4 linked regions of the Arabidopsis thaliana genome follow. The main gene of each other region encodes a partner of the protein of the gene in region 4 in a complex. Each region holds a gene or a part of one and is shown on either strand. Other genes may lie near its edges.

What was found.
Region 1: VRN5 (region 4) and FIE share a complex: the UniProt entries of both Arabidopsis thaliana proteins name them as parts of the plant homeodomain / polycomb repressive complex.
Region 2: VRN5 (region 4) and VRN2 share a complex: the UniProt entries of both Arabidopsis thaliana proteins name them as parts of the plant homeodomain / polycomb repressive complex.
Region 3: VRN5 (region 4) and SWN share a complex: the UniProt entries of both Arabidopsis thaliana proteins name them as parts of the plant homeodomain / polycomb repressive complex.

What each region holds. Positions count from the first base shown.
Region 1 is NC_003074.8:7,248,275-7,254,159, reverse strand, and holds FIE (Transducin/WD40 repeat-like superfamily protein), read left to right. Parts: upstream 1-1,707; 5' UTR 1,708-1,905; coding exon 1,906-2,082; intron 2,083-2,925; exon of another isoform or gene 2,926-3,113; coding exon 3,114-3,179; intron 3,180-3,278; coding exon 3,279-3,401; intron 3,402-3,488; coding exon 3,489-3,569; intron 3,570-3,661; coding exon 3,662-3,754; intron 3,755-3,848; coding exon 3,849-3,924; intron 3,925-4,030; coding exon 4,031-4,110; intron 4,111-4,202; coding exon 4,203-4,274; intron 4,275-4,359; coding exon 4,360-4,419; intron 4,420-4,504; coding exon 4,505-4,601; intron 4,602-4,703; coding exon 4,704-4,767; intron 4,768-4,849; coding exon 4,850-4,909; intron 4,910-5,035; coding exon 5,036-5,096; 3' UTR 5,097-5,281; downstream 5,282-5,885. Other genes in the region: AT3G20730 (PPR superfamily protein), read right to left, coding at 5,282-5,885. UniProt on the Arabidopsis thaliana protein: Polycomb group (PcG) protein. PcG proteins act by forming multiprotein complexes, which are required to maintain the transcriptionally repressive state of homeotic genes throughout development.
Region 2 is NC_003075.7:9,474,446-9,480,393, forward strand, and holds VRN2 (VEFS-Box of polycomb protein), read left to right. Parts: upstream 1-1,623; 5' UTR 1,624-1,762; intron 1,763-2,095; 5' UTR 2,096-2,262; coding exon 2,263-2,388; exon of another isoform or gene 2,389-2,558; coding exon 2,559-2,614; intron 2,615-2,784; coding exon 2,785-2,852; intron 2,853-2,949; coding exon 2,950-3,002; coding exon of another isoform or gene 3,003-3,024; intron 3,025-3,219; coding exon 3,220-3,273; intron 3,274-3,356; coding exon 3,357-3,416; intron 3,417-3,498; coding exon 3,499-3,542; intron 3,543-3,640; coding exon 3,641-3,771; intron 3,772-3,934; coding exon 3,935-4,121; intron 4,122-4,238; coding exon 4,239-4,287; intron 4,288-4,482; coding exon 4,483-4,566; intron 4,567-4,663; coding exon 4,664-4,743; intron 4,744-4,861; coding exon 4,862-4,951; intron 4,952-5,039; coding exon 5,040-5,280; 3' UTR 5,281-5,433; downstream 5,434-5,948. Other genes in the region: AT4G16835 (Tetratricopeptide repeat (TPR)-like superfamily protein), read left to right, coding at 1-358; AT4G16840 (uncharacterized protein), read left to right, coding at 469-715, 904-920. UniProt on the Arabidopsis thaliana protein: Polycomb group (PcG) protein. Plays a central role in vernalization by maintaining repressed the homeotic gene FLC, a floral repressor, after a cold treatment.
Region 3 is NC_003075.7:885,027-892,487, reverse strand, and holds SWN (SET domain-containing protein), read right to left. Parts: upstream 5,909-7,461; 5' UTR 5,796-5,908; coding exon 5,760-5,795; intron 5,509-5,759; coding exon 5,389-5,508; intron 5,289-5,388; coding exon 5,023-5,288; intron 4,883-5,022; coding exon 4,724-4,882; intron 4,471-4,723; coding exon 4,386-4,470; intron 4,283-4,385; coding exon 4,139-4,282; intron 4,051-4,138; coding exon 4,003-4,050; intron 3,919-4,002; coding exon 3,847-3,918; intron 3,604-3,846; coding exon 2,999-3,603; intron 2,910-2,998; coding exon 2,762-2,909; intron 2,441-2,761; coding exon 2,220-2,440; intron 2,149-2,219; coding exon 2,017-2,148; intron 1,924-2,016; coding exon 1,836-1,923; intron 1,746-1,835; coding exon 1,698-1,745; intron 1,619-1,697; coding exon 1,490-1,618; coding exon of another isoform or gene 1,411-1,489; coding exon 1,333-1,410; coding exon of another isoform or gene 1,282-1,332; exon of another isoform or gene 937-1,281; coding exon 745-936; 3' UTR 501-744; downstream 1-500. Other genes in the region: AT4G02030 (Vps51/Vps67 family (components of vesicular transport) protein), read right to left, coding at 56-226; AT4G02010 (Protein kinase superfamily protein), read right to left, coding at 7,266-7,461. UniProt on the Arabidopsis thaliana protein: Polycomb group (PcG) protein. Catalytic subunit of some PcG multiprotein complex, which methylates 'Lys-27' of histone H3, leading to transcriptional repression of the affected target genes, mainly abscisic acid (ABA) responsive elements.
Region 4 is NC_003074.8:8,875,251-8,880,169, reverse strand, and holds VRN5 (Fibronectin type III domain-containing protein), read left to right. Parts: upstream 1-1,688; 5' UTR 1,689-1,998; coding exon 1,999-2,423; intron 2,424-2,502; coding exon 2,503-2,795; intron 2,796-2,872; coding exon 2,873-3,963; 3' UTR 3,964-4,386; downstream 4,387-4,919. UniProt on the Arabidopsis thaliana protein: Involved in both the vernalization and photoperiod pathways by regulating expression of the related floral repressors FLOWERING LOCUS C (FLC) and FLOWERING LOCUS M (FLM).

The sequences.
Region 1 (5,885 bases), 1.6 Mb from region 4:
GATTCTCAAACTATTGAAAAATATCCAAAATATCCGGAAAATTTCAATTTAATCGAATAAAAAAATTAGAATGGAAAGAATAAAAAATTATCGGGTACAATTAGAAGAGTAATGTGTTTAGTTTGGTTTTTACTCGGATACCAGTTCAGTTTTCACGTATTATTCGATCCTATAGGAGCAATTGTGAATTAGTTGTGAGATTTTGGGAGCATTCGCTTCCAGAACTTAGTGCTAGGAGAAATGCTATTTTCCTATAAGAGTTGTACGAGGAAGCGAGCAAGTACACAACAACCACAAAAGCTTTCAATACTTGTTTACTCCTAGGGTTTAAAACTAGAGGTTCTATAGATCTCTAAATTTTTTTGAACAAATGTGTTTTCCACACGTGATATTCTACAATACCACTCGAAAATTATCCATAATTGCTTTAAACTATTTTTTTGTTTAAATTATATAATTTGTACCGTTGTAAACTGATTATTTCAAATTATAATTAAAGCACTATAATTTCATATATTACATTCAACATATATTAAAATAAACTATAACCATGTATTTTTTTGTCTTCCTTTCCTATAAACATTGATTGGACTCTATCGTAAATTTTGTCGTTATCGCAAATTTTGTCGTTATCGATGAGTTTCTCAAAGTTTGGACCTTGATTATCTTGTTTGGAGATGTTCAAATCGTTATATCCAAATAGTGAACTTCTAATTTTCTTTTTTGATAATGTGACTTATTTGGAAAAGTATTCCAAAGTATTCAAATAAACCCTTTAAAAATCCATTAAATACATTTTAAATAAGTAAAATGCTCTCAACGAAGAGATATCATGGTAAATAACAACAGTGAGAGGATAAAATGTTAAATCAATTTATTTACAACTTCAAATAGGCGGACATCAAACCTACTTAGCACACTTTCTATTTTCAAATTGGTTATGGTTTGTCTATTAGTTGTTGCATCTATGTTTTTTAATTCTTATATCGGTGATCTTGATTTTGTTTTGGTGTATCTAAAATCTATTTTAGTTAAAGTGCAAGAAAATAAAATAAAAACTTAAGGTAAGAGATGAAAGTAAGCTTTAAATAAAACAGAGCACTTCTATGGTCGATTATAGAGCCAAGTTCGTTCCTCCATTTTGGCTTAATGCAATATTACAAGTAAATCTTATAAAACTTTCCATAAGTATCGTATTACCCATGGATACTATGATATATAAACTCTCGGAGGTGTAGTCCAGAAGAAATGATCCATATTTGCATACAGTAAACTTGATGGAAAAAATATGTGGTACTGTTGGAATTGTAGCTATTGAGTATCAAATTTGAGAAAAAGGTAAAAAAATATGTAAAATTTGGGTGGAAGAAAAGAATTACATAAAATTGAGAAATGTATGTAATTGACAAAATAATGTTTTCAAAACATAAAAACGTGATACCATTTAAATCCAAACCTTATATCATTTAACCATTTTTAGTAAAACTAATAGTAATGAATGGTCAATAATATAAGATTACATATTAAATAATTACTACTTTCAGAAAATTTCAATCAAATCTATAATATTCCTTTGAAAAAAAAGAAAGACAAATAGGTAAACTTCGATCGTATCAATCAAAGAATATATTTATTTTTCATCGTAACGTTTAATTCTAAGTCCTATTAAAAAACGTTAAATTTGATTTTTCTTACCATTTTTTTCTAAAAGGTGAGTTGTGTGTTGTGTCAGGTCCAAAATAAAAGTTTGTCGTGAGGTCAAAATCTACGGTTACAGTAATTTTAATAACCTGTGAATCTGTGTCTAATCGAAAATTACAAAACACCAGTTGTTGTTGCATGAGAGACTTGTGAGCTTAGATTAGTGTGCGAGAGTCAGACAGAGAGAGAGATTTCGAATATCGAATGTCGAAGATAACCTTAGGGAACGAGTCAATAGTTGGGTCTTTGACTCCATCGAATAAGAAATCGTACAAAGTGACGAATAGGATTCAGGAAGGGAAGAAACCTTTGTATGCTGTTGTTTTCAACTTCCTTGATGCTCGTTTCTTCGATGTCTTCGTTACCGCTGGTGGAAATCGGGTAAAAGATCTCGACTTTCAATTCGAAATCACTGTTTTCAATTCTGGGTCTGTTTAGGTTTTGATTCAGATTGATTGTAACATTAAGGCCTTTCCTTTTGTGTTTGATTTTGGATTCTGATTTCTAGCCTTTAGTGAGATTAAAAGATTGAAACTTTGCTTGATGCTATAGTCTAAGATTATGTAACATTTAGTTCAAACTTTCTGGTTTTGGAGATTTTGTGGAAGATATGGTTTTTGTTTTCTAATTTAAAGTGAACTCATTACCTTATACACTTGATTTGCATTCTGTTCTAAAAAAAATTGAAACTTTGGTTGATGTTGTTAGTCTGCTTATCTAAGGAGGTTCCTTTTGAAACGGTCATCAAGTGAGTTATGAAGCGTTTAGTTTAAGCTTTCCTGTATTGGAGATTTTGTGGAAGTTATTTTTTTTTCTAATTTTGAAACTAGATAGAGTGAAGTCATTACCTTATACATTAGACTGCTCTATTTTGTTTTCAATGTGGGTTCCGAATGTACCTGATAGTGGCTCTTTAGGCTCATTTGTATTCGTCGAAACATCGATCGGATACCCGTTTGGGCTTAGTAGGCTCTGATACCGCGTAAAGTTCTCGGGTTCCATGAAAAACCAATCGGTAATGAGTGGAGTTAATTTGTAATCGTCTTCGGTCGAGCATTTGGGATTAGTGGGCTTTGATACCATGTGAAAGTCCTTGGGGTCCAATCGGCAATGAGTAGAGTTAACTTGTAATCTTACACACTTGGTTAGGTCTCATTCTCTTTATAATGTTGTGTGCCTAACAGTTTCCGCACTAAGGTTGTTTGGTTGCTCAGTCTCAATATACTTATCTTAACTAGTTGTAGTTTTTTTCATCTTTCCTAGTTTCCGTTGGATTTTAAATTGAATGATTTACTAGTTAGAAATATTTGAGTTTCTCATAGAAGCTTTAACCAAGGGGTTCTTTCATTTAACCTTTACTTAGCTAGTTCATGAATCTCATTACTGCCATTGGTGTATCTCTTATTATGTAGATTACTCTGTACAATTGTCTCGGAGATGGTGCCATATCAGCATTGCAATCCTATGCTGATGAAGATGTAAGGAAGCATACATATTAGCTTTTCCATCAAATTAAAGTAAGTGATGTTTCACTGAGGCCATTTGGTTATATTTTGTCTATGTCCTCTGGAGAGCAGAAGGAAGAGTCGTTTTACACGGTAAGTTGGGCGTGTGGCGTTAATGGGAACCCATATGTTGCGGCTGGAGGAGTAAAAGGTATAATCCGAGTCATTGACGTCAACAGTGAAACGATTCATAAGGTATTATTGCATTTTTATGGATGTTCTATGTATCCTAGCAAATGATTCTATATCTTTCTTGTATAATCTGTGCTCGCAAATGTGCAGAGTCTTGTGGGTCATGGAGATTCAGTGAACGAAATCAGGACACAACCTTTAAAACCTCAACTTGTGATTACTGCTAGCAAGGTATATCTCTTGGCTTTCTTTTCTTCCTAAAGTATCCTGACTTCTTTTTTATTTGTTGGTGATTAAGAGCTGTTACGTTTTAATTGAATAAGGATGAATCTGTTCGTTTGTGGAATGTTGAAACTGGGATATGTATTTTGATATTTGCTGGAGCTGGAGGTCATCGCTATGAAGTTCTAAGTGTGGTGAGCCAATATTGTTTTATCTAATTCAGTTAGTTTTCTACAATAATATATAGAGACAATGTTAAGGGGAACCATCTTATTTTGAAAATTGTAGGATTTTCATCCGTCTGATATTTACCGCTTTGCTAGTTGTGGTATGGACACCACTATTAAAATATGGTCAATGAAAGGTACGATCGAGCACATATTGTAATAAACTTCCATTTTAAAAAACCTTTTGAGAAAAATGGCTTGTGGTTCGTTTGTATGATCTTCTTATTCTTTGGCTGTCTATAGAGTTTTGGACGTACGTCGAGAAGTCATTCACATGGACTGATGATCCATCAAAATTCCCCACAAAATTTGTCCAATTCCCTGTAAGTATTTTGTTTTAGCCTTGTCTTGTAACAACAAGTGACATACAAATATTGGTGATGGCCTTTGTAAATAACATTACTTCTATATGTAGGTATTTACAGCTTCCATTCATACAAATTATGTAGATTGTAACCGTTGGTTTGGTGATTTTATCCTCTCAAAGGTTAGTAAGTCAATGATGGTTAAGATTAATTCATTTGGTGTACTGTTAAAACACTTTACTCTTGTGTTGTTCTATCGGATTTTAGAGTGTGGACAACGAGATCCTGTTGTGGGAACCACAACTGAAAGAGAATTCTCCTGGCGAGGTTAGGATCTCATTGTTGCTCCAAACACAACATAATCATTCATTTCATCACATATATTTACAGTTGAACTTTTTGTGGTTTGCAGGGAGCTTCAGATGTTCTATTAAGATACCCGGTTCCAATGTGTGATATTTGGTTTATCAAGTTTTCTTGTGACCTCCATTTAAGTTCTGTTGCGATAGGTAATCAGAGAGCTCGTTAGATACAAATTTGCATTCTATAGATAGATTACTTCAACTTTTCTTATTCATTTTGTGACAAATTACTCGCTGGTTTGTTATCAGGTAATCAGGAAGGAAAGGTTTATGTCTGGGATTTGAAAAGTTGCCCTCCTGTTTTGATTACAAAGTAAGTTAGTTTCGGATTCAGATACAATGTTTGATCTTTAAGAAATGTTTTAGTCTTGACATGATTTTCTGTTGCCATATAGGTTATCACACAATCAATCAAAGTCTGTAATCAGGCAAACAGCCATGTCTGTCGATGGAAGGTATAAATCCATCTTCTCTCTCACCAATGCAGTGAAAATTTCTTAATGTTATTTATGACTCAATAGTTACTGTAAATCAAACCAAACTTTGGATTCTGACACACTGTTTCTTCCATGGGATTGTAGCACGATTCTTGCTTGCTGCGAGGACGGGACTATATGGCGCTGGGACGTGATTACCAAGTAGCGGTCTGAGTCTTGTAGGAATTGATGAATTAGGAGTGCGAAGAAATGAGATATCCATTCTTTTATTGTAATTCTGATCATGTTGCTACTCCCTGAGACCTTGAGATGCTCTTTGTAGCCTTGTTAACGTCCACCCTTGTACCACAGTGTATACCCTTTCTGGAGATTTTGTCTTATTCTCTTAGTTCAATACACAAGGCTGTATCCTGGAGCTTTATTGCAGGAACCACTCTCTTTCATAAGCTTTCTAGTATTCAAAGCATTGTCCCATGCTCCATTAGCTGCATACACACTGGCCAAATTGATGTAATTGACTGGTTTCCTCGGTTCCATACTCAGAAGCTGCGTGGCTGCTACTTTACTGAGCTGCACATTCCCATGGCGCCTGCATGCATCAAGAAAAGCTCCCCATGTTGATGAGCTAAGACTTACAATACCCTCTTTACTTCTTATCAGTGCATAAGCTTCTTCCAAGTAGCCACTGCGCGCAAGCATATCTATGATGCAAGATAAGTGCTCTTCTCGAGCTTCGATTCCGTGCTTGTTGATCATTGTGTCGTAAATCTTCCAGCCTAGTTCGGTTTGTCCTGTATGACTACAAGCAGAGAGGAGAGAAAGAAATGTAACGTCATTCGGTTTGATCCTTTCATGCTCCATTCTGTTATAAAGATCAATTGCTTTCTCAAAATTCCCATGTCTTCCATATCCTGCAATCAAAGAGGTCCATGATCTCACATCTTTCTCTTTCATCTCTTCGAAAGCCAGGACTGCATCCTCGATTTCCCCAGAC
Region 2 (5,948 bases), on a different chromosome or scaffold from region 4:
AAGTGATCGGATTCACCCTGAACTAGACTCAATACACAAGAAACTGAAGGAGTTGGAGAAGAAGATGAAACTAGCTGGATACAAACCGGAACTAGAGTTTGCTTTACACAATGTAGAGGAAGAGCAAAAAGAGAAGCTATTGTTATGGCACAGCGAGAAGTTAGCTGTTGCATTTGGTTGCATAAAACTCCCTCAAGGTTCACAGATACAAGTGTTCAAGAACTTGAGAATCTGTGGTGATTGTCATAAAGCAATCAAATTTATCTCGGAGATAGAGAAACGAGAGATCATTGTAAGAGACACCACAAGGTTTCACCATTTCAAAGATGGGTCTTGCTCTTGTGGCGATTACTGGTGAAAAGAGAAGAGCTTTGACTCTCTCATTGGTCAAACCTGACTGTATTTATATGCGTTATTGTGTGGTAAAGTTTCGACCTTTGACTTGACAAGTTGCCGTTAAGAAGAGAGATGCGTAGATCAGCGAGTGGTTCTAGAGTTTTGGATCATTTTCCGGCGACTTCAAGGTCTCCGCCTCGATCTCAGAGTGTTACAGCAATGGAAGATGATGTGGAGCTGCTTTTGCCTAGGTACGATCCGAATTCTCAAGCGGGGAAGAGAGAGAAATCAAGATTCAGATTTTCAGAAAACGTCATCCATTTGATTCCTCTCATTCTTCTTCTCTGTGTCGCAATCCTCTGGCTCTCCTCTTACTCAGGTAAGCCGAGAAATTGTTTCAATCTCTATGAATCCATAATTGATCTGTGAAACTTAATTAGGGATTTTACAAAGACTCATATGGATATGAGGATCGAGATGTCTCTGCAACGTTAGAATCTTGTGTTGAATTATGGTTTCAATTTGTTCATATAATACTAAATCGGTGATGGATTTGGAATTTGTCAGCAGCGTTAAGGAGTTGAGTTCCAAAAGCAACATGTTGTCTTGTCTCCATGGGAACTCATATTCAGTTTTGGGAAAGGAAACAATTCTTTTACCGCCGGTGATTTTGTGCCGCAAACCATTCGTATTTGTAATTTTTGGTTCTGTAGACACACAAAAGGATCTCTCGTTTTCATGAAATGTATGTTTAATATTTCAGTGATATACATCACACAACTCAAGTAGAAAACACTGATGGTTATCCATTAATCATTCTATTGGTCGAAAAAAAGATTAGTTTCAACTTAATGCCACCTTAGGATTATATGTTCCTGTGAGTTTCAGCTAGCCAACTCAACTAGAGTTAAACAATGGAATCAAAATACATATTCAGTAATTTATTTTAAACTCTGACTATTTATGTAAAACACAAATGGAAATCAAAATTGAAGGTCATGAAGATTCTATTCTTAGTGTGAAAAGTATAGATCAATGATTCTTAATTTCTTCATCCTCCACGCATAGATCAATGGTGAATATGGTTTTAAATCCTCTAATACTCACTGTACTGCCATGGTAGAGTTAAAAAAACAATTTTAGAAATATTAGTGGATTAAGGCATTAAGCTGTCCAAGTTGCTTGTATTTTCTTTTCATTTTATTAATTAAAAAAAAAGTTCAACTATTTATTGACTAATAATAATACGTGTTAAATGGTTATCGGTTTAAAATATGGGCCATAGGCCCAGACTTGAAGAAAAACTTGAAACCCAAAGTTTTATTTTTACTTGTTTTCTTTCTCAGTGAATATCTCCCAATCAAGCTTCTTCAATTTTGCTTGCTCTCTCTCTTACACGGCCAATCGGTGTTTTCGCAGCTTTCAGGTTTGTCTCAATCTCAAATTAAATCGGAGTCAAGTAATAACAATTGATAACCCTAATTGTTTCAATTATATTGTAAGATTTGAAATTTTGCAGTAGATCCGGAATCGTATTCTAGTTCTGGAATCGTTGATCTCGATGGAATTTTTTTTAAGATTTCTTCATACACATTTGGTTCAAAAGATCACATAATTTTATTTTAATTTGATAAGTATGATGATTCTGCTAAGTGGCATTGGATAAAGTTTTCATTTTTGCAATACGTCTAAACTTGTCTATGTCTTGAATGAACTCTCTGAGTTGCTTAAAAAGTCTTGTGCTTTCTTTATTACACAGGCCTCAATACAAGACATTCTATATAAGCATATTGCAGAAGAGGCGGTTCTAATTGTTGCATGGAGTTGAACAATATGACGTAGGGAAATTCTAATTTAGGGGAGGCCTCAGAGTTTGCACTAACTTCATAATCAGCTCTGGACGTTGTTGATTGTATTTGAACAAGAATGTGTAGGCAGAATTGTCGCGCGAAATCCTCACCGGAGGAAGTGATTTCAACTGATGAGAATCTCTTGATATATTGTAAACCTGTTCGACTATATAACATCTTTCACCTTCGCTCTCTAGGCAACGTATGATTTGGCCTTCCTCTCTCATCATTTTAGCTTAGTAATCTTTCATCTCCTGTGTAGATCACCCACTAATAGTTTGAGTTTGCTAAGCTGATTATGGTCTGACTCATGGCGAGTGTGTGCTTCTTTTGTCTCCTAATGTTATTTGAACTTGTTGTTTGTTGTTGCAGCCATCGTTTCTGCCAAGATGCTTGAACTACAAAATTGGGGCAAAGCGCAAAAGAAAGTATGCGTTTCTTCTTGAATGTAGTTGCCACAGTGATATGTTATTTATCTTACTTCTAATATGGAAGCTGATGAACTATTTATCTTTGTTGAGTAGATATGGACATAATGAATGGTTTCTTCTTTGTTCATGCTATACACTTATATTTTACAAAATTGTGTTTTGCTTAGGTCAAGATCTACTGGGATGGTAGTTTTCAACTATAAGGATTGTAATAATACATTACAAAGAACTGAAGGTTAGTCTTTTTCTGTTCTTCGACAAAATTCGATGTCAATGTCTATGTTTCTCTAGATGATTTGTTATTTACTATTTTTTTCTGTATTGTCACGCAGTTAGGGAGGATTGTTCTTGTCCATTTTGCTCTATGCTATGTGGTAGCTTCAAGGTGGGCAACTATTACAACTGAGGTTTCTTCCGGGGCCTTTCATATCTAACACTGTGAAATGCTACTGCCGTTTAATGCTATATACTTTCACTGTTTGGTTACATATTTTTGTGTTTGTTGTTTGTCTTCTTGCTCTTTTTAAACTGCTGAGTGTGTGCTTATCTGAGAAAACATGTTCCAGTTCGAGCTTACAATCCATTGTCTTGTGTCTATGCAGGGGCTGCAATTTCATTTGAATTCATCTCATGATTTATTTGAATTTGAGTTCAAGGTATGTGGTTTTATGGAATTTCTTGTTTTGCCTATGCCGTTAGTAATGAGGTTATAGTTAAAAAAGGGTCTTTCCTATTGTAGCTTTTGGAAGAATACCAGACAGTTAATGTTTCTGTAAAACTTAATTCCTTCATATTTGAGGTCAGTTACTTTAAACTTGGTTAATTGGGAAATCCTATAGCTGGTGAAAATTTGGTTTATATTCCATCCTTATTTGTACTAGGAAGAAGGAAGTGATGATGATAAATTTGAGCCCTTCTCTCTCTGGTAACTCTCAGAACCCCTTGATTAAATACCTTAATAGCAGTAACTCCTTGCTTTTCTTGTCAGTACTTCTCTATAAATCCAACCACAATGTTTTGCAGCTCGAAACCTCGTAAGCGTAGACAAAGAGGTGGCAGAAATAACACCAGGAGACTTAAAGTATGCTTTTTACCGTTGGATTCACCCAGTTTAGCTAATGGCACAGAAAATGGAATTGCCCTGCTGAATGATGGTAAAATCACATCTTCTTCTGTGGTATTCGTTGTGGCTTAGAACTTCATTTTACAGAAGAAGATACAATGTCCTGATTGTTTAGTTTTTGTACTTCTCCTCGCATTCTTCTTGTGAGGGTAATGTTACCAGAACTGATGTACAAAATTAATGGCATGCTACAGGAAACCGTGGTTTAGGATATCCCGAGGCAACAGAGCTTGCTGGACAATTTGAGATGACTAGCAACATTCCACCAGCCATAGCCCACTCTTCTCTGGACGCTGGTGCTAAAGTTATATTAACAACCGAAGCTGTGGTCCCTGCTACTAAGACAAGAAAGTTATCTGCTGAGCGATCAGAGGCTAGAAGGTTTGTTCATCATGACACCCCGTCATCATAATTACCATACCTGTTGTTACAAATGTTCTTCCTATTATGGATAAGTGTTTACTGTACTGCCATATTAACCGAGAAAATTTCTTCCAGCCACCTACTTCTTCAGAAACGCCAATTCTATCATTCTCACAGAGTCCAGGTGATCCAAGTTCCTTCACCTACTTCTTAGGCATTTTCTTTAAATTGCTCATGATGATATCTTATCAAAGCATACTTGGTTTGTTCTCATCTAAATTTGTATTTTGATTCTGTATGTATCAACGCAAAAAAATTATGTCCATGTTGTCTCCGTTTTATTGCCACTAACCAAAAACTGCATGTTTCTTGTGACAAGCCAATGGCGCTTGAGCAAGTAATGTCTGATCGGGATAGCGAGGATGAAGTCGATGACGATGTTGCAGATTTTGAAGATCGCCAGGTATTCCATGATTTCTTTCTGCGTTCATTAAGTAGGCAACAGAAAATGGTATACGATGTAACTTGCTAATGGCTTTTGAAACTTAAAAAAGCTGCAGATGCTTGATGACTTTGTGGATGTGAATAAAGATGAAAAGCAATTCATGCATCTTTGGAACTCGTTTGTAAGAAAACAAAGGTAACTACTTCTCTTACACTTGAACACACACAAAAAGACCTTATGTCTTACATTCCATACCTGTCTAAATGATTCTGCTTATGGAACTTTGAGCTCAAATTATGATTGATGTTTGCAGGGTTATAGCAGATGGTCATATCTCTTGGGCATGTGAAGTATTTTCAAGATTTTACGAGAAAGAGTTGCACTGTTACTCATCACTCTTCTGGTAATATAAGTACACCAAACATATACAGACACATAACTACACTATCAATTTTGTTTCGTTTTTCTGAAAGAAAAATAAAAAATTCCAGGTGTTGGAGATTGTTTTTGATTAAACTATGGAACCATGGACTTGTCGACTCAGCCACCATCAACAACTGCAATACCATCCTCGAGAATTGCCGTAATACCTCAGTCACTAACAACAACAACAACAGTGTGGATCATCCCAGTGACTCAAACACCAACAACAATAACATTGTGGATCATCCGAATGACATAAAAAACAAGAACAATGTTGACAACAAGGACAATAACAGCAGAGACAAGTAATTAAATAGGAAACACTCCGGTTTAGATGATACCGATCTATCGGATTGTAACTTATTCTTCTTTCTTAAAAAAATTGTTTAGGAGCAAACAAAGATTTTATTTGTTAGTGTATTCAACTGATTACATTTTTAGTTAAAAAAATGGATTCTCCTTAATAACTAAAGACTGAAAAATAAGATAAGTTTCCTTAATTTTTCTTTTTGACTTGAGAAAAAGCTCCTCTAGACCTCTAGTAAATAGGAGTTATATATTAATCAAGTACATAACATAAAAATATATATATTAAGTGCAAATAGATTGAAAACAAATCAAGAAATTAATTAAGACACAGTGATTAAGCTTAAAACCCCATTTTGACTTGTTCTTTCTCAATGAATCCCTCACAAGCAGCAAGCTTCTTCGATTTTGCTTTGACACCACCAATCAGTGTTTTCGAATCTTTCAGGTTTGTCTCGATTTCAAACTAGATCGGAGTCAAGTGATAAAATTGACTAACATAATTATTCCCGTTCTCTCGTAAGAGTTGGGATTTAGCAGTAGATCGGAAATCGGAATTTACGTTTTTGTTAAAAGATTGATGGTTTAGGTAATAAAACATAGTTCTGGATTCATTGCTTCTAGTTGATTCTCGAATTGTTTGATTTCGCAATGCACATTTTTGGTTCAAA
Region 3 (7,461 bases), on a different chromosome or scaffold from region 4:
TATTGACGCTTGTGTTGACGATTCACGAATATTCTGACAAGAAACGAAGACTAACCATGAGATCCATGTACTGATCAGCATCAAAGGAAGTGCTGTTGATGTTATCGAAAGAGGCGTTGATGGAGGAACCACTCGTCGAGATTGAAGGATCCGGTGCGTAGAAGCTCGACAATAGATCTCTCATTCTCTTCGCCTTTTCGTCCATCGGAGCTGCCTCCGTCGCCATTTTTCTAAACTCCTGCTTCTTCTCGACGACGAAAATATCTGTTACCGGAAGCAGAATTTTGGCGTCGGAGATTCGTAATGTGAATTGAAAAAGCAAGAAGAAACTGGATCCGACTAATCAACTGGGAAACGGATCCGTATCCGATTCGAACCGGAATACGGTTTAGCAGTCGGATTACTTTTTATGAGATTAGGCACTGGTTTAGTGTGATTGGTTCGTTCACTTATTTTAAATCAGTTTTATTCGTTGAAAAGTACATAGATTGGCTTTAGCTGTTCAAAAATCCATAAATTTGAAACTATTTTTCGAAATGATACATTTTTACTTATTGACCCCAATAATTCATAAATTGTTTTATCACCTATACAAAGTCCAAACTCGATGTCAAAATAAAATAAAATCTCAACTCTATAATAATTAATTAATAAAGACAAGCTTAAGTTATCAAACTTCAAATATCATCTCTCACAACTCTATAAGTTATTTTTATAAAAGTTACTTCTCTTAGCCAGTAATCATCAATGAGATTGGTGCTTTCTGGCTCTACGATGAGTAATGGCTGAATCATCTTTCTTGGAGCCTTCAGGTTTGCGAGCCCACACTGGTGCTTGGTCTGGTCCATATCTATAGTCATAGAAAAGCTCTTCGCTAGCTTCTATTCGTTCGTTTGCAAAAATCCCGACCCTGTGATCTCCTGCTACAAACATCACCTACACCACACAGAAAAAGACACCGTACTTATGCGGGAAGCGATGAGACCATGGTTACTACGACAATAGACTGAAAATCGCTCTTTTTTGTAAATAATTAACACCTTTCGAAAAGGGTTGAATAAATCTAGCAGATGATATACACATGTTACTTTACACATTACAATCATAAAGATTGTAGAAACAAGTGTGTTTTGATCATAACCTACAAAGCTAGATTTGATCATCTGTTTTCTATAGTGCTAATTGCGATTAGTTTCTACAAAATGTTATAATCCTAGTCCTCCTTCTAAATGGAACTTTTGAGTGGCTAGAGGTGAGAAAGAAGGTATAATTACTAACCGATCATGTGGTTTTTTCATACCAAAATGGATATGAGAGAGAAGCATTTAGTACCTTAGCGTAGCAATTGGGTTTAGCTGAGTGATTGGCAAATTTCAGCTTGTCACCTTTGCGTTGAGCATCGAGGACGTACTGCAAATATCAAAAGCTTACTGACATATGCGAAATTCAAGAGGAAACTATCAGAAAGAAGGGTGAGAGATTTGGTCACCTGATCATTCAAGTCAAAGAGGAAGGACGAATTTGCCCGGTCATATATTTTCCCACGCTTATCCGCCTCATGGTGTGAGATCAATTCACCGGTGTATTCTCCAAGGTATTCATTTTTGCTGACCGAGTTCTGATGATCAGATGAGGTTCAGATTACATACAAGAGGTATGAAACAGAAGTTAATGAGGAAGATATTCACATGCTTTACCTTTAGAAAAGCACCCCATCCAGCAACATCAGACTTTCCCAATAGGATCTGGTAAATATAGCACATGAGAAACTAGATTTATCAACAATGAATGCATTTTATTTTTAGTAAATACATGATTTGATGACAGTATTATACCCTCTGTTGTTGCCTCAGGAGAAGTCTCATGTTTCCGCATTGCCCTTCTCCGCGTCTTGGTGCTTCACCGAGAGAACCATCTCCACAACTGAGTGAATAAGCAAGGCATCTTAAGTTACTCATCAAATAGTAGATTTGATTGTATATGGCACATCAAGAGATCTAGATTTAAAATGACTACCTAACCCAGCAATTTCTGCAAACATCTGGATCACATTCTCTGCCAGCAGCAAAGCAGGGACACTGCCTACTTCTGCATTGACTCTTTGCACAATGACATCCTCGGAAACGATTTTTACAGCTTTTTGAGCACCTGAATTAAATCAATGGATGGTTATAAGAAGATCCTCTGTTACTTCAATTGACGTTAATTTGTTTGCATACCCGCAATATTTCTCGCAGCAAGTTTCATTAGTTAGACAAGGGCAATCCTTTCCGCACATTGACAGGCATCCACACGGCGTGTATTGTTTACAGGACTGGTTTTTGCCACCAGCTATTCTTTTCCAGACAGACGGATGACCAGCAGACTTTGTAGAGTATTTTAGCTTCCGGGTTTTGCCTTTTCTACGGAACAATCTTGTCCTTGGAGGCACCTCATCATTCTGTCAAGTAAAGTAAGAGAGCGGTAAACCAAAATATGATTCTGACAGACATGGCATGCTAATATCAATAAAATCTCAAATAAAATAATCACTTGTCTAAGCCAACTTATGGTCAACTATCGTTTTCTCTTGTCCAATGCAGGTATCAGGGAAAAATTAAGCAAGGAAATTGGCTTTTCCGGATCAGAACTTTTTTCTTCTGGAATAGATCTCTAACCCTATCAGTCTGACAAGCTAACTTTCAATACAACAATGCCCAAAGTCGCAGATACTGCAGAAAATTTGAAAAGACAAAAGACCCTAGGAAGATCAAGAGCTTACATCATTCCCTGGGTCAGTCCTGCCATCATCCAACAGCAAATTTGGGGTACTAGATCTTCGAAAAACTGAAACTTCGTTTTCACGCATGTAATTGGACACATCTAGGCATGTCTTCAAGCCAGAAAGCAGGTTTCTTGCAATAAGACAGCTGAGATAGCACGGACAAAACATACTAGATGTAAATACGTTATAGGTGTTCTGTGTTTAAAGATAATAATTTACCAAGATCCAGTTTACCTGTTTCTTCCAAAGATTTCGACTCCCTTCAAGTAAAGATCCTTCTCGATAGGATTCCACTCTGTAGATGGTCGACTTGTCTCAGACATTTCTGCAATGATTATTGCTCCGTTTCCACTACCATGGTGTGGCTGACAAATTGAGGAACCACCATCATGGACCGAATTGTCTGGAATAGGCTCACCTACTTCTTTTGCATCAGCTTCTGAGTCTCTGTTTACTTTATTGTCAGTTGTTCCACCTTGATCACCCTTTGTGCTATCCAATGCCTGATCTAAGCTAGGGACAGAATTAACAAATGACATTTTTGTATCTGAGGCTGCGGTCTTCTGTTTCTTGTTCGATAAATTAGGCAGATCATTGGAGTCTTTTAGAATTGGGACCTCACGCTTTCCTCTAATTCCATGCTCTTGTTCTACACCAGAGGATGAATCTACATTCTTGATACCAATATCAGTCTTCTCAACTTGCAGACTGACACCACTAGCAGCAGCATGGGGAACATCAGAGGAGACAGCCTTGCTGCATTCCTCTTCTGAAGCTTTCTCTTCTGCTTTAGATGCAAAATTACTGCATGTTTCTGGTACTTCTCTGACCGCCTTGAGCTAAAATCATTAACATAAGAATAATGGTGATTCAAACTCTGGAACCAAGAAAAATTACTGCATAAACAAGACTATGCACTAGTACAACTACAATGAAAGATCACTCCTCTAGCAAACGCATACATGCTAAACCTCAATCTAGGTCAGAGCATATATTCCATGATCTCACTAATGAATATAGTTTATTAACTACGAATATACAAATCACTCTGAGAATGTAAAGAGACAGAGAGAGAGATAGACCTGGAGGTAACAATGTTTGCTGCAGGGTTTCCTATCACCTTCATAATCAGACCAATAAGGCTGTTTTTCACTCTGTCAACCAAAGTTCTCTTGTTATGTTGTCCACTGAAACTTTAGCAATACAACTAAAGAAAGTAAAGACAAATTCAAGCTTACAGCACTAATCAAAGGCTGAGAACATCCATGCAGACGACAGTCAAATACCTGTTAGAAATAACCAAAGAAGGATTAACATGATTAACAAACACTTAATAATACATGCTCTCTCTGTCACAAAGAACAATCCAAGTACCAAGCAACGGCGGCAGAAAAGATTATCAAAAGAATCTAGAGCTGCACCAAGGCCCTTTTCCAGAGATATTCCCAGCTTGAATCCGGAATTAGAAAATTCCTCGGTATTCTGCTTATCCTTCAACTTGAGCTCATTGTATCTTTCCTGCAGCAGACAGGAAAGCCAAACATCATTAGTGAAGAAGAATAGGAAGACCAGAAAAACATCATTAGATAAACCACAAGAACAAGATGACTAAAAACTGCACCAGGATATCAGAAGCATCTACGCTTAGCAACTGGCAAAGGGCATCCTGCACTTCCTCACCCATGCCATACTCCTGCCCAATTAACCTGCCAATTCAAGTCAAACGAGGTATGAAGAAATTCATATATAGTGAGATATATTTCAAACCTAATGCTAATGAAGAGTCTTACAGAATGAAATTTGATATGAATACGAAATATGACATCTTTTTTTAGCATCAACAAATGTGATTCATTGGTTAATAAATTCCACCCAGGTACTTCTTCAAATACCAGTATCACAATTTTTCCCCATCAGAGTACATGAGAGTCCATAATTTACACTCTCTGCAAAACTAACCATATAATGGAATCTTCACCCTCGGAAAATTCACGTTTTTCCTCCTCAGGTTCTGGTTCTTCCTCACTATCGCTGCATATTAGCGTCTCACCACCATGTTGTTCATAGTAGATTTGTCTTCGACCAACCACAGACTGATCTTCAGCCATTCTTTGATTTCTGCATGGTTAAGATATTTTTTCAGAAAAGAAAAACAACACATAATATGAAAACTGAATTTGATGTTCTAGTCTATTGTTCAACTGAATTTAGAATAGCATGCTACCAACGCAAAAATGAGAACTAGAAAAGGTGCATGCCTGTCCAAAAATATCCAGGTAGTGTATGGCGGTATTCTCTCAGCAATAGGAAGCTTGACACTTGCTGATATAACATCCTTAGTAGGAACATAGTCTCTATCTCCCACACCATGAGAAAAACCATTTAACTTGCAGAGTGGCATTCTCATTCTCGAAGAAAGCATATTGCTATTTCCATTATCCTCTGCGGTAGCTCGGCTCGATGCAGCAGATGAAAAGGGAGAAACATGAGCATCCACTTTCTTTCTATTAGCCTCAAATTTCTCCTACATTCCCAGGAAAACAATCAAAAACGGATAAATGATTTCAAATTTTTTAGACATTAGTATAATTAGTAAAGAACATCAAGTATAGAAACTCTCTTACTTTAATAGACCTAACTCTTTCTCCTTGAATTTTCCTTTTAAGCTCACTTAATCTGTTTTCCAAACCCTCGAGTCTATCTTCTTCTTCTTCACCATCATCATCATCATCTACATGAGACTTCTATTCAGAAGCCCAAATCAAAACAAAAATCGTGTAAAAAACAAAAGCAACGAGGAAAAACACTAATTCTATAAGGTCCATCAACTCCAACAGTGAACAAAAGTAAGAGAGCGATTATAATTTGATGAACTCAAACGGATTTCACGAACAATCAGCTGAAAAAACGCGAATGATCATGCGCATACGAGCAAAATCAGATAATAAATCAAAAAAAAAAAAAAAAGAGGAGATTGAAAGGTAAATCTGAGTACGATTCGTCCAGAGGAGTTGCTATCGTCCGTCACCATTGATGACTCCTCGAGCTTTCCGCTTCTCTTCCGCTCGAACTTTCTCTCTCTCTCTGCTTTTTCCGCAATCAGACTTGTGAGAAGGACGAACGGAGTGTGGACTGGAAGGGGGGTTACATTACATACAAAGAACGCCACACGTGTGAATGAATAGTGCTTATACGTGTGTAATTTAATTAGTGGTTTTGCGACAATTATTTTCTATTTGTGATTATAATTGTATGTTATCTTAAAGATAACTATTACGACATGCCTGGCTCTGGAGCCGTTGAGGCTAATAATGGCTAATATTATTAACGTCAAAGTCTCTAGAGCCACACAGGTTATAGCAGTTACGTTTGAGATAAGTATTAGTTGTAAAGTAATAAACTCTGAACGTAAAAATATTAAGATATTTGTGATTATAATTGTATTTTATCTTAAAGGTAACTACTATGATTTGTGTGGCTTTAGAAACTTTGACGTTAACAATACTAGCCATTGAGGCTAAGAATATTAGCTGTAAAGTAAAAATCTCTGAGCGTAAAGATTTAAACTGTAAAGATTTTTTTTTTTTAACATATGTATGCTTCTTATAAACTTGTAAAGGGAGATACAAATATCTTTCTAACCATAATGGTGGTACAGAGAATTAATTAACTGAGCCTTTTTAGATAAGATGTCCGCAGCTGCATTTCTTTCCCAATTAACATGTGCTAAGGAAGAGAACGGAAGCTTCACCATCCAATAACGAATATCATAAAGAAGAGTGATGATCTTATTATGATCACTCTGCGTATTGATCAGATTTACTAGCTCTGCATTATCGCTCTCAAACCACACATAAGTACATAATGTAGTCCTCGGGACCAAGTCACTTGAAGGGCATGAAGAAATCCGAGAGCCTCTGCTTGAAGAGATAATTGTGACGATTGAAGTTGAGCACGCCCTGAACTAAGGAAACATCCATTGCAATCTCTGTAAATCCATCCTGAATGTATGACAGTCCTTTCCTGAACATAACCACTATCAAAAATAATAATAATAAAAACTGTGATTTTAACTAATAAGAAAGGAATTACTTTAAATATTGGTTTGATACCATAAAAATTATATTTAAAATATTAGTTTTTCAACAGATTATATTTTATTTAGATTATTCCATAAAAAAAAAGTATTATACTGTTACTTTTAGCTGTAAAAACTTTTACTGTAAAAAGCCTTTAAAAATTAACAGTACAAACTAATCACCTGTACATAGTTTTTTTATATTGGAAAAAGTATATTCAAATTCTATTTGTATATCTGATGGTTGTGGCAAATATTAATTAATTAACGCAAAAATATATACAAAATTCTATCCTCCAATAAAGGAGAATCCAAAATCCAAAGAGCTGTAATAATGTCCCAAACTCAAAAGCTTCTCTGGTGGAAATTTTCTCACCGTAAGTGGGAGAAAAACAAATAAAAAGAAGAAAACCCTGGCTTCTATCATCGGCCTTCGTGAAGATCTTCTGAGAAAACAGTTGTTCGTGTAATATTTTCATGATCAAAAGCGCTTAGACCAGAATAAGGACCAGAAGAGAACATAGAAGAGGTTACTTCTGACTCGAACGTAGCTGATGATTGTCTCCGGTTAGGACGAGCTTTATTTGAAGTGTTTAAAACCGGGTCTTGATACTCAACC
Region 4 (4,919 bases):
TCTAATCTATATCCCTTTTTTGTTTTGTTCAATTCCACTCTATTTTGTAACATTTTGAATCTATCTCGTTTGTCATATATACAAATTAGTGGGGATGCTTTTCTTTTCTCCATACATTCAAAACGATAATAATCATATGACGAACACTTCACTGAAATGATGACTATTGTTAACTAATTCATTGAGACCAAATTCTAAATTAGCTAGATTAGTTATATTCATTTTAGATCACTTTAATTAATCCATATCAAGGTTTATGATGAGTTTTCAACTCAAACCCAATCAATAATAAACGGATAAAATCCTTTTGATATATTTAAATTCATATTTTATTTTGATGTGAGAATTCTTATCAAATTTTATGTGTTTTTATTCCACAAATACTTTTATATCCCTATATTTCATTAAATGATACGTTTATACTAACACCAAGTGGTTGTCGTTACCAAGTTTAATATGAAATTTATAATCAGTCCTCACTAAATAGTAAATACATGCACATGCTTAAGTTTTATAATTAGTTCTGATAGTCCTCAAAGTCTAATAATAAGTTTATAAGTTTGACCACGAATCTGAATTTTAAATTAACTCGTTATACATCTTAACTTAGAATATTGATTTGGTTAAAAACTTGTTTATAATATTGGATTCTGAAGTATTTTACAAAATCAGTCAGTACATAGTTACTTGGTCGTGCAGAGTGTGGACCATAGGAGCCCCCTCTATGTTATAGCCTGATACGTTGCCTCGTTTACCTAATCTAGCTATGAAATGGATCAGCTCATTTTATGGATTCCATATTATTGCACGTAATATTCACTCTTTTATCAAGAACATATATCTTTTAGTACAACTTTGTTAATTCACTTATTTGCATCTTCTAAATCCGTCTCACATTCAGTATAAACCATAATGATTTTTCATAAAGTTTATGTGTGTTAGTGTCCATACTTAAAATCAATACATGACTAACATAATCAAACTAATTTTTTTACTGTGAATTTTTTTTTATGGGATCTATATTTTTTGTAGAATACGAAAAGACTAATTTACATTGCATATTAAAAAATCTGTTTTTCTGTATCGAAAAGGCTTCCAAAAGTTTTCACTAATATACCAGCAGTATCAATCTCTCCATAGTAGAAGAACAAGTAGAAGACCAAGTCGCTGGTTTTCTTAAGATATCTTCTCTGTTGTTCCCCCCTTCTTCGTTCCTATCGCCACCTTCGACATTCACTATTTTTCTTTTTCTTTTTTTTTTTGTTTGAGAAAAAATGAAAATTTGTTTTAAGAGACCATGATAAAATAATAAAAGACAACTAAATAAAAAATACTAATTATATAAAAATAATATCCTCATATAATAATTATGTTATGTGGCTCAATTGGCCAAACTGGAACCTAACCGTAATTATTAAACTGAAAAAATGATATAGGAATGTGTTTAGTTTAATTTATATAATATACGAATTTGCTTAGTTTTATACTTTTATATATGTATAAAATTTACATGTGTGTAAATATTTACTAGTTATGGACACTCCGATATTCGGATACAAGGATTCGGATTGAGAAATTTAGAACCACTCCGATATTCCAAAAATTCGGTTTTGATTTTAAAACCATGAATTGTGTTCTTCCCTTTTTTTGTCCCTAAAATCTCGAAACTAAGAAAATGGAGGCCCTTTAAAGAAATAGGCCCAATATGATACATGTTATAAAAAAACAAAAAAACAAATGACACGTGTACCCTAGAATCTCTAACTTTCATCTCCTTCCTCTCTCTTTCCCCCAAATTTCAGCCGCCGCGGCAATGTTTTCTCAGGCGACGCCTAAATCTACAGCCACCTGAAAACTCCTCCGTAATCTCAATCACCGAACCATGTTTCTCAATTTCGACATTGAATCAAAAAAGACGAAACAATCCTTGTTTCTCGACGAAGACATCTGTGAAGAAGAAGAGCTACAAAGACTTTAATTTTTTCTTTCTGAGCAAGTATGGATTCATCATCGACGAAATCGAAGATCTCACATTCACGCAAGACGAACAAAAAGTCAAACAAGAAGCACGAATCAAATGGGAAACAACAACAACAACAAGACGTCGATGGTGGTGGTGGGTGTTTGAGATCATCATGGATCTGCAAGAATGCATCGTGTAGAGCTAATGTGCCTAAAGAAGATTCCTTTTGCAAGAGATGTTCTTGTTGTGTTTGTCATAATTTCGATGAAAACAAGGATCCTAGTCTTTGGTTAGTTTGTGAGCCTGAGAAATCTGATGATGTTGAGTTCTGTGGCTTATCGTGTCACATTGAGTGTGCTTTTCGAGAAGTCAAAGTTGGTGTTATTGCTCTTGGGAATCTGATGAAGCTTGATGGTTGTTTTTGTTGCTACTCATGTGGCAAAGTTTCTCAAATTCTTGGGTAAAATTTCTTCCTTTACTCTTTGTTTGATTGCTGTAATTGGCTTTGTATAACTCAATGTGCGTGTGTGTTTATGAAGATGTTGGAAAAAGCAGCTTGTGGCAGCAAAGGAAGCACGACGACGTGATGGACTGTGTTATAGAATAGATTTGGGTTATAGACTGTTGAATGGGACTAGTCGGTTTAGTGAATTGCATGAGATTGTTAGAGCTGCTAAGTCTATGCTGGAGGATGAAGTTGGACCTCTTGATGGACCTACTGCTAGAACTGATAGAGGCATTGTTAGTAGGCTTCCTGTTGCAGCTAATGTGCAAGAGCTTTGCACTTCTGCAATTAAAAAGGCAGGGGAGTTGTCAGCCAATGCAGGTAGAGGTTAGTATTGGAGATATGTTTATTGCAATGAATCTGAAAGAGAGAGTAATGAAATAAGTTCATATATGTTTTTGCAGATTTAGTTCCAGCTGCGTGCAGGTTTCATTTCGAAGATATTGCACCAAAGCAAGTGACTCTTCGTCTGATTGAGCTACCTAGTGCTGTAGAATATGATGTTAAGGGTTACAAGTTATGGTATTTCAAGAAAGGAGAGATGCCTGAGGATGATTTATTTGTTGATTGCAGTAGAACTGAGAGGAGGATGGTGATATCTGACCTTGAGCCTTGCACGGAGTACACATTCCGTGTTGTCTCTTACACAGAAGCTGGTATATTTGGCCATTCGAACGCTATGTGCTTTACGAAGAGCGTTGAGATATTGAAACCAGTGGATGGTAAGGAAAAGAGAACAATTGATTTAGTAGGTAACGCTCAGCCCTCAGATAGAGAGGAGAAAAGTAGCATTTCCTCAAGATTTCAAATTGGGCAACTTGGGAAGTATGTGCAGTTGGCTGAAGCTCAGGAGGAAGGCTTGCTTGAAGCGTTTTACAATGTAGATACTGAGAAAATTTGTGAGCCGCCAGAGGAAGAATTGCCACCTCGAAGGCCACATGGGTTTGATCTAAATGTAGTTTCAGTGCCAGACTTGAATGAGGAGTTCACTCCACCTGATTCTTCTGGAGGTGAAGACAATGGAGTGCCGCTAAATTCGCTTGCTGAGGCTGATGGTGGTGATCATGATGATAACTGTGATGATGCTGTGTCTAACGGTAGACGGAAGAACAACAACGACTGCTTGGTTATATCAGATGGAAGTGGTGATGATACCGGATTTGATTTCCTCATGACCAGGAAGAGGAAAGCAATTTCAGACAGTAATGACTCAGAGAACCACGAGTGTGACAGTTCGTCGATTGATGACACTCTTGAGAAATGTGTGAAGGTGATCAGGTGGCTGGAGCGTGAAGGCCACATTAAAACAACATTCAGGGTCAGGTTCTTGACATGGTTCAGCATGAGCTCAACCGCTCAGGAGCAATCTGTTGTGAGCACATTTGTGCAGACTTTAGAGGATGATCCAGGTAGCCTTGCTGGCCAACTTGTCGACGCATTTACTGATGTTGTCTCCACCAAAAGGCCAAACAATGGAGTAATGACCTCACATTGATCAAGCTTCCCATTGATTCAACCACATTCTTTCTTAGTATGAATAATATGATTAGAACTAAATAGTCCATGATTTCTCTAACGTGGATTCGGCTATTTATCATCAATTTGGACCACAGGATTGACCACATTGCAAATCTCTTTGGATTGGGGTTTAGATTTAGGATTTGACATAATAATATTTTAAAAAATCTCCTTAGGGAGAGTATTTTGCCTCTGTTCCTTGTTTCTGTTCATATCTAAAGAGGTCCTGCGAACCATTCGCTCTGTTGTGTACTAACTCGTGTAAAGTGTCAATTTCATCAACTTCTAAAACAATATCTTGGTTATATTGATTGATCGTTTCAGATTTTCAAATGATTACATCTGTTATTGTTTTTATGCAAAAAATGTTATTTTCAACAAACCAAAATAGAAAGTTCAGGATTTTTTTGTTTGAGTAACCATTATTTGAGGGTGTTTTCATTGATTATTTAGTTGGGGATGTTGTTGTTAAGATTCCTTACTTGAGGGGTAGTTTGTTTCATTAATAACTAGATGAATACCCGCACTACGTGCGGGTTTATGTATTACTATTTACAAATTGTTTTATATAATGTCTGTTCATATAAAGTAAAGTTGAATGCATCGATTTTGAAACATAAATATGATTTGTAATTGTTTTCAAAAAGTCCAACTATATTAGTTCATCTGAAAACGAAAGTGCTTGAGTTGTTTTTTATTGTTGTTTTAGATTCTCAGTTTTTTTTTTAATTTATATATCTTTGTTCTTTTGGTTATATATTTAGTTTGTGAGACGGTGAAATTTTAGAAAATTTGTTTTTTACATTAAAAATATAACATGTCTTTATTAATCATGTCTCTGCATATCCAATCTAATCATATTCAACTTGATGTTATTGTAAAGTTTGGTTAAGTTCTTGTCATAATCTTATATCTTACGTATTAGTTATAAGG